Caenorhabditis elegans: one gene and its partner. The protein of the gene in region 2 purifies or fractionates together with the protein of the main gene of each other region. This does not show direct contact. Each region holds a gene or a part of one and is shown on either strand. Other genes may lie near its edges.

Region 1 (4,663 bases), on a different chromosome or scaffold from region 2:
GTTCACTGGTATCCAGTGTGACGACGGGTCCGACTCCAGAATGGGCCGGGAGAATTCTAATGGCCTTCAGTGGACATATCAGTCAGCAGAGAGGTCGCAGAAGAACATTGACCCCAGCTCCATGGCTTCCGCCAGTCAAAGAGAGTGTGCCGAAAAGCAGTGTGGGTATTAGCCAGGGGACAAAGTAAGTTGCATTAATTCTTACCTGTTTAGCAAACGTTTTTGTTCAGAAATCTGCTTGAAACCGTAATTGAGAAAGAAACTCTTGCGGCGTCCACCATTGCATTTCAAAATTCTCAAGAAACCAATGTCTCAGTTGTTGACATTCCAGATTCATCAAGACGTGTGGGTCTGGTTGTCCGCAAAATCGGAATGCTCCCACAATGGACAAATGAAGGAAACCGAATTCTGTGCACTGTGCTTGAAGTTGATGAAAATCATGTTGTCAGTATTACATCACCAGAGGCTTGGTATAAATCGTCAGCCGTCGGAAAAAGAAAGGCTTTCAATCGTCACGGTCCTATGTGGAGAGTTACAGTGGGTGCCGGAAATGATGATCCAACAAAATACACGCTTGGGTACCGTAGGCAATTTGTTCGCGCAGGAATTCCAGTGAAAGGTTGGGTTTTTTTTGTGTTTTGCTCCGCTTTTCGATAGTCCTTCACCGTAAATTCATGGTTAAAAAAATAAATTCAGAGAAACTCGGATGTTTCCTGGTAACAGAAGACGCTCTCCCCAGTGCTGGACAGCCACTTGATGCCCGTCACTTCGGAGTTGGTCAATATGTAACTGCTACTGGAAAAACTATTGACTGGGGATTCCAGGTAATTTTTTTCAATTTACAATAGTCTAAAACTTCCAAAATTTCCCTTGCAAGCCAAGGAGCAAAATAATCTCTCAACCCTTGCGAAATATTTTCGAAACTAGTCGTTTTCAGGGTGGAATGCATCGATGGGGAATGCGTGGACAACCGACAAGACGTACCACAAAATCACATCGTAGAATTGGTTCCGTTGGTTCAGTCGGCGATGCTCGAATTTGGCCAGGAAAACGTATGCCGGGACATATGGGTTATGAGTGGAGGACTGTTTCTGGTTTGGAAGTAAGAAATTGCTCTCGATTTTAATTTTCAATTCATTTATTTAAGATTGTTCGAATCAATGTAGATAAACAAGTAATTTATGTGAAAGGAAGTGTACCTGGTGATATTGGAGAAACAATTCTACTTAAAGATTGCTTACAAGAAGAAAAACGTCTGAAATCCGGCCCAATGCCAACATGGGCTCCATCACTAGAAACCATCGAAGAAGAACCGGAGACAGAACCCGAAGAAGGCACAATTCCCAAAAATCTTCTTTTCAACGAAAAATTCTCGCCCAAACTGTTCCGTTTCACATCTCCATCCATTTTATTCACTGATGCCGACGCCAAGAAGGCCACTGGAAGAGATAAAACGAAAGCTAAGATTGCAAAAGTTAAAAAGTAATGGTGTATCTAATTTTATGATATATTACGGTTTTCCTTTATCGTTTTTTGTCGAAATTCGGTTTATTAGAATTTTTGTTCCGTAGATTTATAGATTTTTCATTGTTTTGCATTGTTTTTGTTTGTTCTGAATACCAAAAAGCAGAGTTTATATTCAATTATTTGTTGATTTTTTTCCAAACCGGTCGTTTACCGAGATTTACTTTATTTCTTAACATTATGCATTCTGAAACTTGGATTCTCAATTTGAAGCGAATGACAAGACTGTGGTGAGCTGGTTAATCGAGAAGTATGGCTGAAAACGACGGGGAAACGATTGTTCCAGACGAACAGTGCAATTTGACGGCCTCAACGCCTATGAAAAGTAGTGGGTTGGAAGTGAGTTGCTTTCTTTTTTCAAAATACTGTTTTTGAAACTTGAATTTTTCAAACTTCAAAGCTAGACAATATTTTTAAAAAATTGTTTATGAAAACAAGCTATAAAATAATAAAAAAGGGAAATATATTAAATTTTCAGCAAGTGGAAAGCCCGAAAGAACGAAAAACTTCAATGGTGGAATGTGATGACGAAGGGAATCCATCATCAGGAACCCCAGATGAATCACCAAAACAATTGACTCCGCATAGCATTCCCCCAAGACGACGACGTTCTCCACGACGCCCGGAAGTGTCAGCTTCTAGACTTCCTCTGAAAGTACTGAATCAGATTTTTCAGTATTTACCATTGAAAGGTAAACATATAACATTTTCCCCCTTGAAGTTACATGGCTCTGTTTTCAGACCTACGATCTGCAATGCTAACCTGTCATAGTTGGAATAACGCTCTTTCAATGGAAGACAGTGACATATGGCAGTACCTTCTTGGCAAGAAGCTTCCAGAAGCAGCAGTTTCCGATCCCTTCCTGCTCGCCGAGCTGGGATCTGCAAAAAAGAAGCTGAGAGCCTGGTATTTTGCCTGGAATACGAGCGATATTTCAAGAAATAACTACATCCGTACCAACGGTTTCACTGTTCACCGGCAGCCAGTTGCTCAGTCAACAGACGGTGTCCGTGGAAAACGAGGGATTTCAAAAGGAGTACACGCATTTGATATAACTTGGGATGGACCGTTGGGAACTGTAGCCGTTGTTGGTATTGCTACTAAGTGAGTAGTTAATTTATTTGAAAATTTAAAGATATATCTTTAACATTTTCAGACATGCTGCTCTTCACTGTGTTGGCTATGTTGCTCTCCTCGGATCAGATGATCAATCATGGGGATGGAATCTTGTAGATAATGTTTTGATGCACAATGGAGCACAGCTTGGTGTTTATCCAAAAATGAACAATCCTCCGAAATATGAGGTATTTCACTAAAAAAATTCAGTTATAAGCCGATGCAAGCAAATATATTTCGTTCTAGGACGAAACAACGGTATTGGGCCACAATTTTACAAAATACGACGTTCTTGTTTTATAAAGTTGTTTAATATGTGAAAAAGTTCAATTTTTCATCTCTAACAATTTAAGAAACATGAACGTCATGGTAAAATCGCATGACGAGTTTTTTTTGAGTTGTCGAGAAATTTCCAATAATTAACTTTTTCTGTATATCTGCATTGTGAAAAGTGCTAGAAATTCAAACCATTTTTTTTATTTCCTCGGCTAGAATTCACAATATTCAAACTTCGATAAATTGAAACAATTATTTTCCATTCACTAAAACTGTACAGAAAAGAAAAATTATATTTTTTAACAAAGTGAAATTTTAAAAATTTAGAACAAGTTTTTTTGTTGTTTTTTTTTTTTAATATTTAACTTCCTGAAAAATTATATTTTGAAATAATGGTTTAAAATCTTCGAATAAACTAATTAGTTAAAAACTGAAATAATCCTTTTTCCAGGTCGGCGATAAAATCCGCCTAATAATCGACTGTGACACCCATGTCGCTTACTTTGAACGAAACTCGGAATTTCTCGGAATCGCATTCAACCATATTCCCCCATTACGTCTCTATCCGGCTGTCTGTGCGGTTTATGGCAACACAGAAGTGACAATGGTGTATGTTGGAAGTCCACAAATGGGTTGAAGACGTTCGCTAGAGCGTATATTCTGACTTCTGCGCGCGTATTTATTCGCCACTCAAAATGTAATTATTCACATGTTTTCATCGCTTGTCTCATATTTCTACTGTTATTATAATTTTCAGAAAAATATGAAAATTATTTAATTCTGATATTAAACTTTACCTGTAATTAAAACACTCATAATAGATCTTTTTCCCGCACGCTTTCCTCTCACACACTTTCTCATTCCCATATTGATCTCTTTTATTGCTTATCGAGCTTTTCTAGTCACTTCGTGATAATTGGTCCATTTCTCAATGAAGCTTTTTCGTCGCTTTATAATAATATTATATGCTTTTTAAATTGTTTATTCGGTTTTTTCTTTGTAAAAATCCGCTAAATACCTATAGTTTTTCTTGAATTCTTTTTTCCTAATCATCAACTTTTTCAGCCTCATATCAGAATCACTGTACGTCGCCGGCAAAAATGATGTACGATGATGAGGATGAGATGGTTAATGACCCGATGGACGGAGACTATATCGATGATTCGGATGAAATCAGTGCAGAAGCATGGCAAGAAGCATGTTGGGTTGTTATCAGTGCTTATTTCGATGAAAAGGTATTTTTGATTATAAAATCATGAAAGAATCTCTTTTTTGAAGGGTCTCGTTCGTCAACAACTTGATTCCTTCGATGAATTCGTCCAAATGAATGTGCAGCGAATTGTTGAGGATTCTCCGCCAGTCGAACTTCAATCAGAAAATCAGCATCTTGGCACAGATATGGAAAATCCTGCGAAATTCTCATTGAAATTCAATCAAATTTACCTCTCGAAACCAACTCACTGGGAGAAAGACGGAGCACCAATGCCAATGATGCCTAACGAAGCTCGTCTCCGAAATTTGACATACGCCTCGCCACTTTACGTAGATATCACTAAAGTGGTGACAAGAGACGATTCAGCAACGGAAAAAGTGTACGACAAAGTGTTCGTTGGAAAAGTTCCAGTTATGCTACGGTCTAGTTACTGTATGCTTTCCAATATGACAGATCGTGATCTAACAGAACTCAATGAGTGCCCACTTGATCCTGGAGGTTATTTTGTTATCAATGGTTCGGAGAAAGTACTT
Region 2 (7,841 bases):
AGCGGGTTTGACATTCAAGCAACGGAACACTACTGTATGGATCGTTGAAGTTCAGAGAGTCTGGCCGGTGTAGTGTTGGACCCTGGAATTTCAACAATATTAACTTATAACCGCCAAGTTTTAATTCAAACTCACCGTATTTTGCACACCGAGTCTATTCAAATCAATTAAAGATGTTGGTGGGGTTTGATCAGTAACAGTGTTACTTTGAGGAATCAATTGAACGGATTCGTCGTTGTTTTCCGGTGAAAGGTACTCTGGTTGTGGAACCGATGTCAATCCATTCTCATATTGGACTCTTGCGAGATCTTTTCGAATACTATTTACAACATATGATGTGAGCTCCGAAGTGTATGGATGCTCACGAGTTAGCATCAGTTCGTGCACTGAAATTTCAAAATTTTGAACAATTGAAAACATTGGTTTGTTATTTTTAAAAATTCCGGTTAACTTTTAAACTATCGCTTCTTGCAATTTTTGTGTTTTAACAAATTTTATAGTTTTTATTTTCTGAATTACTACTCACGTTGGATTCTATCCTGCATGTCTTGTTGTGCAGATACTTTCACCGTAGAAGCATCTGTAAATGTACTGTTCAGTGAGATTTCAGTCATTGCGGTCATTGGTGTCTCCACGGAGACTGGCGTGGATTGCGAATGTGCAAATGTTGCTCGAACGGCTGGATGAATTGGGAAAGGCATGCCAACAGAGGCCGGATCATCTTGAATGTCTTGGAAAATCTCGACGACATCCACAAACTTTGGTCGATCAGCCGCAGCAGTCTTCCAACAGTCACGCATCAATTGATAGACTCTTGTGGGAATACCATATGGATATTCTAGACGAGCACCTTCTGTCAGCATGAGCATCACCTCTTCGTTACGTCGGTTTGGATATGGGACAACTCCAAGAGAAAATACTTCCCAGCATAGAACTCCAAAGCTCCATATGTCAGACTTTGTTGTGAAGACACCGTCGATGAATGCTTCAGGTGGAGTCCATTTTATTGGCATCATTGTTCGCCCATTTATCCGGTAGTATTCAGTCCTGAAATATTTATGTTTAAATGCACTGATTTGCTGAAAGTTAATCCAATTAGGATCTGAATACATTAGAAATATAATTTTTGAATAGATTAGAGTATTGGCTTCTAATAACCCACTTACCCATATGTAATCTCTTTTGCCATTCCGAAATCAGCAATTTTTGCAACTCTTTGCGGTCCTCTTGTTGTGAGTAAAATATTTCGTGCTGCGATATCTCTGTGAACATATCCAAATGTTTCCAGGCATTTACAACCCGCTGCCACGTCACAACATATTTTAATTAAGTCACTCATTGCCAATTGGAATGGATTTAGTGATACTTGCTGGAAAAAAAAACAACTTTTTTGATTTAAATATATGCATGAAAACTTACGTTGGGACGGCACTCCTTCACAAAAGATAGTAAATCGCCACCTTCCATGTACTCAAGTGCAATCATATATGGGACCTTCTCGAAGTCAATTCCAATCAGACGAACTACATTCTCATCCACGAATGTTCTAAAGTAGGGAGATAAATTAAGAAATTAACAAGAAGACATGTTTCCTACCCCATACAAAGCGCTTCGTTGCAGAAATCTGACTGCGACGCTTGGCTGGCTGAGAACGTCCTTGAAATCATTTTTACTGCGAGCTTGACACCACTATATTCCCCGTAGTAAACTTCACCAAAGTTTCCTCTTCCCAGCACTCTTCCCCTTTCAATCGAATCTCTTGATATTGATGGTAAAGAGTCGAGAGCAGCTTTTCTGGTCGTTCGACCGAAATAGATGTCATCGTAAAGGTAATCCGGCTGGAAGAAATGAAAATCATAAGATTCCGGTCTAGTGGTAATCCGCTGCTTACTGATTTCATTTGGGTGAGATCTAAGATTTCCTGTTTCATCTGCTTCTCGCGGTTACGGTAGTGATAAACAACGAACAAGGCACCAATGATCGTTAGGGCCGCGAAGATCAAAAACGTAATGTTGTACAAGGTCCAAATTTGGATTTCTTCTACAAAGTAAGATTTAGTGAGCCACTTTGAAATGTTGAACAAGCTAACCGCAAGTATCGTTGTACACGTCATAAATTTCCTTCCCGTTGTTGCAAAGACAAAATGGTTCGTAGGTAAAATTGCGGTACTGGTTTGTCGATGATGAAGGGCATACCAGAGGAAAAGCTTAAATGGGCGTTATTTTATTGTTTTCAAAACTAGTTTGTTGAAGAATCAAATTTCAAAAAAATGATGAAAGTTCAACTGTTCTTACCACAAGCTTCCTCAGTGTCAGTGACATTTGATCCATCAGGACAGCCACAGTACTCTTCTTCAAAGTAATCTTTTCGGAACCTACACACTGTTGGAGGTTCACAACGTTTGCGGCAAAATGCTGAATAAAAAAGTTTTTAAACTGTGCTTCAAAGTAATTGTTGCCTACCAATTTTGATATAACCTTCGTCAAGTCTTTCGGATTGATAGTAAATGGGCGATTTTGAAAAGTCAATGGACACATTACTTGATCCACTTCTCGCTCTACTCTTCCCAAACGGATTTCCTGCTTGATATCCTGCACCACTGCCACCGAGCATTCCACATGAGTTCCCACCTCCACCGAATCCTCCGAACACTGTGCTTTCACCTTTTTCGCCGGGACATCGATTATCGCGTCGTTCAACGATAAAATCAGTATGCGACACGGCTTTACATGTTTCATTACACCTTTGATCTGGCTTGACATGAATTGCGGATGCTCCATAACCGACTTCCATGTCAAAACCATCCCATGATGCTCCAGCTCCACCGCCAGCCACAACATTCCACAAATCTTTTTCAACGGTTAGCAGAGTTGCTCCGCCACCAGCAGCCCCTCGTTTTCCATCATACACGTAGTTGTGGCTGATTTTTGAGCATGAAGAAGGTCGAAGCTCATCATCGTGCTCCGTGAAGCATGGACTTTCTCCCATTTGACCAATTAGCATACGCAGGGAGAGATTTTCGATCAGGTGAACCTGAAATATTATTATTTCACGGTCTCATTTTAACTTTTTCTTATTTTAAACATGTCATAAGTTCAAAAAGATCAGGACAATTGTTCAACCATTTTTTTTTGCTTTTTGAACTTGATTTAACGAAATTATATGTAATGTCAGTAAATATAGAAATTTGTTCCCCAATTGGTTTGTGATATGACTAACATTTTTCGAAGATACTCGGGAATACTCGTACCTTCTAAAATTACTTTATGAACTGAAAATGCTTAAAATGCTAATTGAAACGTTTGAATAACTAACCTGAAGTGTGACACAATCTCCAGTGTCTCCCGATGCTTTTGAGTTTGAACCACCACCAGCTCCACATATTTCCATCCTATAAAATCCTGTAACAGGAACTGTCCATTGCTGAGTTCCGTCTTCTTTCAGAAAATGACCGGTTTGACCATCAAGTTCTCGATTGTGATCGCAGTTTTGTGGTTGCTCAAACCCAGAAGCTCCACATGTATTAATGAAAAGATCGGGGATGTCCCAAGTTGACTGATTAATATCTAAAATATTTCTTTAGAACAGTCAGGATCCCTATTGCAAACCTCTTTCAAAACAGGTAGGACTGAAGGATAGATTATCGATTGCCACATACTCTTCGGAACCAGGGAAATAATTTGTCACAAATATTCCAATACGAAATCCTGCATTTTGTCTTGGTATATTCACAAATACTCTTTCCCAGGTACAACTGAAATTAATTTTGCTAACAGAATAATAGTATGAGAAAACTCACTTTTCTTTTGGGATCAAAGTATATCCTGCTTCATAAATTATTGTTCTTCCACTTTCCATCGGATTGATTCCTTTTGATATTACAGATATTTGCCATACTTTTGAGTATGTTCGCGAACAAAGGTAGAATCGAAGCTAAATTAGTAATGTGCACAAATTTTAAGAATTTTTTAAACGAATTGAAACTTACTTTACACGACTTAAACAATGGACTTTTCTCATCATATGCTTCTGGATTTGTTCTTGGTAGTTCTGGTGAGACTAAAGCTGATGTTCTTCTAGTCAAAGGGTTTGGCTTGTGATCAAAAACCAGCATATTCCCTGATCCTCGCATAGCCTCCTTGATTTTCGCTGACGGCGATTGCAGGCGGAATAGATGTAGAGGTACTTCATTCAATTTGTTTAAAGGGGCAACTGTAGTTGGTTCGGATAGTCTTTCATGGTAATCAGTAACATTTGTAACTTGGTACCAAGAGTTACAGTAATCCTGACCATTAAAGTCGCACATTGTCCCATTAATATTTCCTAAAAAAGGTGATTATTCTCAATCAAAAATTATAAAAGTACCGCAGTCCATTTCATCAGATTCATCGTCACAATCAATTCGTGAATCACATTGAGCATTTTGGAGGCACCGTGTGTTAGCAGATATAGAGCATAGAAATTGATCACCACGAGAACATTGCTCAATCGGGTCTCGAATCTCTAAAAAAAGTTGTCTTCGATTTTTTAAATAATTGTTGAGAGGCGAAATATTTTCTACCGGTTTTTTTTGTCTAACTTGTAATTAAAATGTTATTTTTTATCACAGTTATGAGCTGCAAGTTTTTTCAACTACTCACCACCACAGTTTTCAAAGTAGATGTCTGCTATACTGCATGTGAATGGCTTATTTTTCTTCTTCTTTGGTGGAAATCCAGTCTCACAATCTATTGAAATTTTAAATGGTTCTGCGTAAGATCCAATCGCAACCTGGACCGGCACCCAACTGAAAGAGAAATACTTTTGGTTTGTCCCTTCTTCATTTTACTCACAATACGCTGGCTGGTTTCAGCCAGTGCTCGTATAGGTTTTTCTTTTCCCCAGATTGCAAAATGGATCTTACGACAAGTCGAGATGTTGAGGATTGATGAGTGAAGTGATGCATAAATCGTAACGAACACTGAAATCTCAGTTTCTGGTATTTAACGATTCAAGTCAACTTACGTTGAAACCACTTTGCCTAAAAAACTTGCTAACCATCGAAACCTTGTTCATTTTGAGATTTGCCTTTTCTGAACCAGCTTGCAGCATATAATCTATACAAAATTAGAATTTATCGGCGACATTATTTAATTAACTCACCAAAAAGGACCTTATTAGATGACTCAAAAACTTCAAATTTTAAATCATCATGATCACTATCTGGAGTCCAATGGCACTTTTCTTTGCTCAGATCGCAATGTTTCTCTGAAAAACAGTTGCGTTCCAATCATATGTATAGTTTGTAAGTTTTATTTTTACCTCGTTTTCCACAATAACAGTCTGGATACAAGACCATTAATTCTGTCGAGTTGGTCTCTTCGTCACAAGTTTCTATGAAACAGTTGCATTTTTCTTGCTCATAATGATATGTTTTGTAAGTCGAATCAACTCGATGATCGCAAAATGAGCTTGTCTCATTGCAAGTGTTTTCTTGAATGTCTGAAAATAGCATTTTCTTAAGGAACTACATAGAACATAGTCTAGCAAGGATAAAAAACTGAAACATAAACCATTTGCCATCAAATTTGAAACTTCCAATAATATGTAGATATCATTTCCGTTTAGTCTCAATTTAATGTTTTTAACTGAATTTTTTTGAGTTTGTTAAGCTTTAAAGTTATTTTATCTGTCTTTATGTCGATTGAAATCTGGTTTTTTGTTGAAAATGTCTGTCACTGCCAATTATGTAAATACTACGTTTTATTCAAAATTCAAAGTAGTAAAAAGTTAGTTAAATGAAAAAAAAAGTGAATGAAAAAAGTTTTAATTTTATTGTCCAATTAATTGTTTTTTCACGATTTCTGAAAGTAGATCTTACAACAGAAAAAAAAACTTACCGCTAGTTAATGAACAATTGGGTGCTAGTAGTGCGAATTGCTCTGCAGCTTTTGCTTTCTGAAAGAGGTTAATTTAGATTTACTCACTAACTACTCAGCTTACTGATTCTGCGGAAATATAATATGATCTTGAAGATCCATTTTCTTCATCCTCAATAAGGAATCGATCCGCATAGTATCGTCTCACATCGAACGTCTCATTTGGCAAAATGGCACCAACCAGTGTGACACGAAAAAGGACTACAAACCACCATAGTCTTCGTTTACGCATCTTACTGGTTCGCTACTTTAATGGAAATGAAGTGACATCTAAAAATGGGAAATGTATCAAAAAAAAAAGCGTGAAGAGGAGGAGAAGGGTGGGGGGAGCAAGAGACACGGGATATGAAATATTCGGAAAGATTAGTGGAGCAAGAAGAGGCGGATTACTGGGAGAAGATAGAAGATCGTGAAGAACGCTTATGAACTGGAGAAAAAAGGAAAACGTTTGTCAAAAAATTGTTAGGAAATTGTGGGCTCGCTGCCACATAAAATTAAGTAAAAGTTGAGCAACATGTCGTGTCCATTCATTACTTTTAATATTTTCTTCTTACAGTTTTTGACAACTTTTCACAAATGCCCGATTTAAGTTGCAGGAGTTTTCTATAAAGTTTCATTTAATTTTGGTTTCACTCAAGTATTTTTGCAAGCGTTTTGGAAATCAGTAAGTAATCATCAGAAACAACAAGAACAATTCATCAAATTATTCAAACTATTGAGGGAGGTGAGTTTTAATTAATTCTGGTCCACCTACTTTGAGTTTCGCAATTGAAAAAAAACGTTTCAGTTGTTGAGGTAAATCTATATAATTTCTCGGAAAGTAACAACAGGAACGGAATAAATTAGAATAAAAAAAATATTCCAAATACATATAAAGATGCCTGAAACGAGACTTTATTTGCACAAAATAAATCAGGCTTCATGAATTCAATCTAAATTTGCCATCGGGAAAAAACACGGGGCGGTGACAAAACCACCTGCTGTTCACCCGACTAATTCGGTATAGACATGACATTTGACGGACGGCGAAGACAACGGATAGAGAAGGTAGACTTCTTAAGAGAAACAGCGAAAAAAGTTGCAGAAAAGAGAATCTTTGAAGGAAAGGAAAAAAGCACAAAGTCTCTGCTCACCCTCTTCTCCTGCTCCCATCTCTAATTAATTCGTCGAGAGGAGAAAATTCCGCCGTCGTCGTCGTCGCCGCCGCTCTTAACCCATTTCTTACTCTTCTTATTCTCATTCTCAAAAGTCTTCTAATTTTTGATCCGCGGTGCCAATTCCCAATTTCCGCGGAATATATCATGCAAACATTCTCTCCATGGCATTAACACCAAAATGGATAGGGATAGAAGGAGCAGCAACAAAAGCTCACACGGCACGCTCACACCGGTTCGCCACTCATTTCGTTTCAGCTCCCCGAGCCCACGCCACGCACTTTTGGCTTTCACTGACAGGAGAAAAAGAGAGAAAAACATATGAAGTGTATTAACATATGAAGAAAGGGACAGAGAAAAAGACAGAGAGATAGGGATAGAAAACAAATATATCAGAAGATGTGGGCATGAGCTGGTCAGTCTGGTGACGGAGGAAAAGATGAACAAACTAGACAAAAAAGGGGAAAATTGCAGACGAAAAAAATAGGGAGACTGAGAGGATTCAAGACTAGACTTGCAATGAGTACTACTGAAAGGAATACTCATGACGTGAGAAAAAAAGAAAAATAAGAAGAGCCACTAAAAGTGAGCTCAATGCGCGCACCGCGACTCTCAATCGGTGCTGATCGCGAACGGTCGCTTTCGTGATTCGAACATCAAACCCTGTTCCGCTTAAATTAGACTCTCCACATCTAGGGTGCACAGTTCAAAGCTTTAGTTGAAAGAAAGATAGAGTTATACTATGCACTGAAATATAAAGATATGAATT

Evidence for each region.
Region 1: the proteins of scd-2 (region 2) and fsn-1 purify together in Caenorhabditis elegans (affinity purification with western blotting, with the first as the bait; one study listed by BioGRID). This does not show direct contact.

The regions. Positions count from the first base shown.
Region 1 is NC_003281.10:4,935,585-4,940,247, forward strand, and holds fsn-1 (F-box/SPRY domain-containing protein 1), read left to right. Parts: upstream 1-1,737; 5' UTR 1,738-1,776; coding exon 1,777-1,863; intron 1,864-2,002; coding exon 2,003-2,216; intron 2,217-2,265; coding exon 2,266-2,629; intron 2,630-2,681; coding exon 2,682-2,829; intron 2,830-3,368; coding exon 3,369-3,554; 3' UTR 3,555-3,869; downstream 3,870-4,663. Other genes in the region: mrps-18C (Large ribosomal subunit protein uL3m), read left to right, coding at 1-184, 231-619, 697-824, 938-1,102, 1,148-1,486; rpb-2 (DNA-directed RNA polymerase II subunit RPB2), read left to right, coding at 4,018-4,152, 4,196-4,663. UniProt on the Caenorhabditis elegans protein: Component of a SCF (SKP1-CUL1-F-box protein) E3 ubiquitin ligase complex which is required for the restriction and/or maturation of synapses in GABAergic neuromuscular junction (NMJ) presynaptic neurons.
Region 2 is NC_003283.11:6,631,578-6,639,418, reverse strand, and holds the start of scd-2 (ALK tyrosine kinase receptor homolog scd-2), read right to left. Parts: upstream 6,195-7,841; 5' UTR 6,151-6,194; coding exon 5,983-6,150; intron 5,938-5,982; coding exon 5,880-5,937; intron 5,482-5,879; coding exon 5,302-5,481; intron 5,248-5,301; coding exon 5,143-5,247; intron 5,097-5,142; coding exon 5,005-5,096; intron 4,961-5,004; coding exon 4,833-4,960; intron 4,787-4,832; coding exon 4,641-4,786; intron 4,504-4,640; coding exon 4,366-4,503; intron 4,324-4,365; coding exon 3,989-4,323; intron 3,934-3,988; coding exon 3,800-3,933; intron 3,755-3,799; coding exon 3,609-3,754; intron 3,567-3,608; coding exon 3,316-3,566; intron 3,034-3,315; coding exon 2,463-3,033; intron 2,415-2,462; coding exon 2,295-2,414; intron 2,207-2,294; coding exon 2,090-2,206; intron 2,041-2,089; coding exon 1,892-2,040; intron 1,839-1,891; coding exon 1,597-1,838; intron 1,547-1,596; coding exon 1,420-1,546; intron 1,370-1,419; coding exon 1,167-1,369; intron 1,048-1,166; and 5 more. UniProt on the Caenorhabditis elegans protein: Probable tyrosine-protein kinase receptor which regulates the dauer/non-dauer developmental decision probably by controlling daf-3 transcriptional activity in parallel or together with the TGF-beta pathway.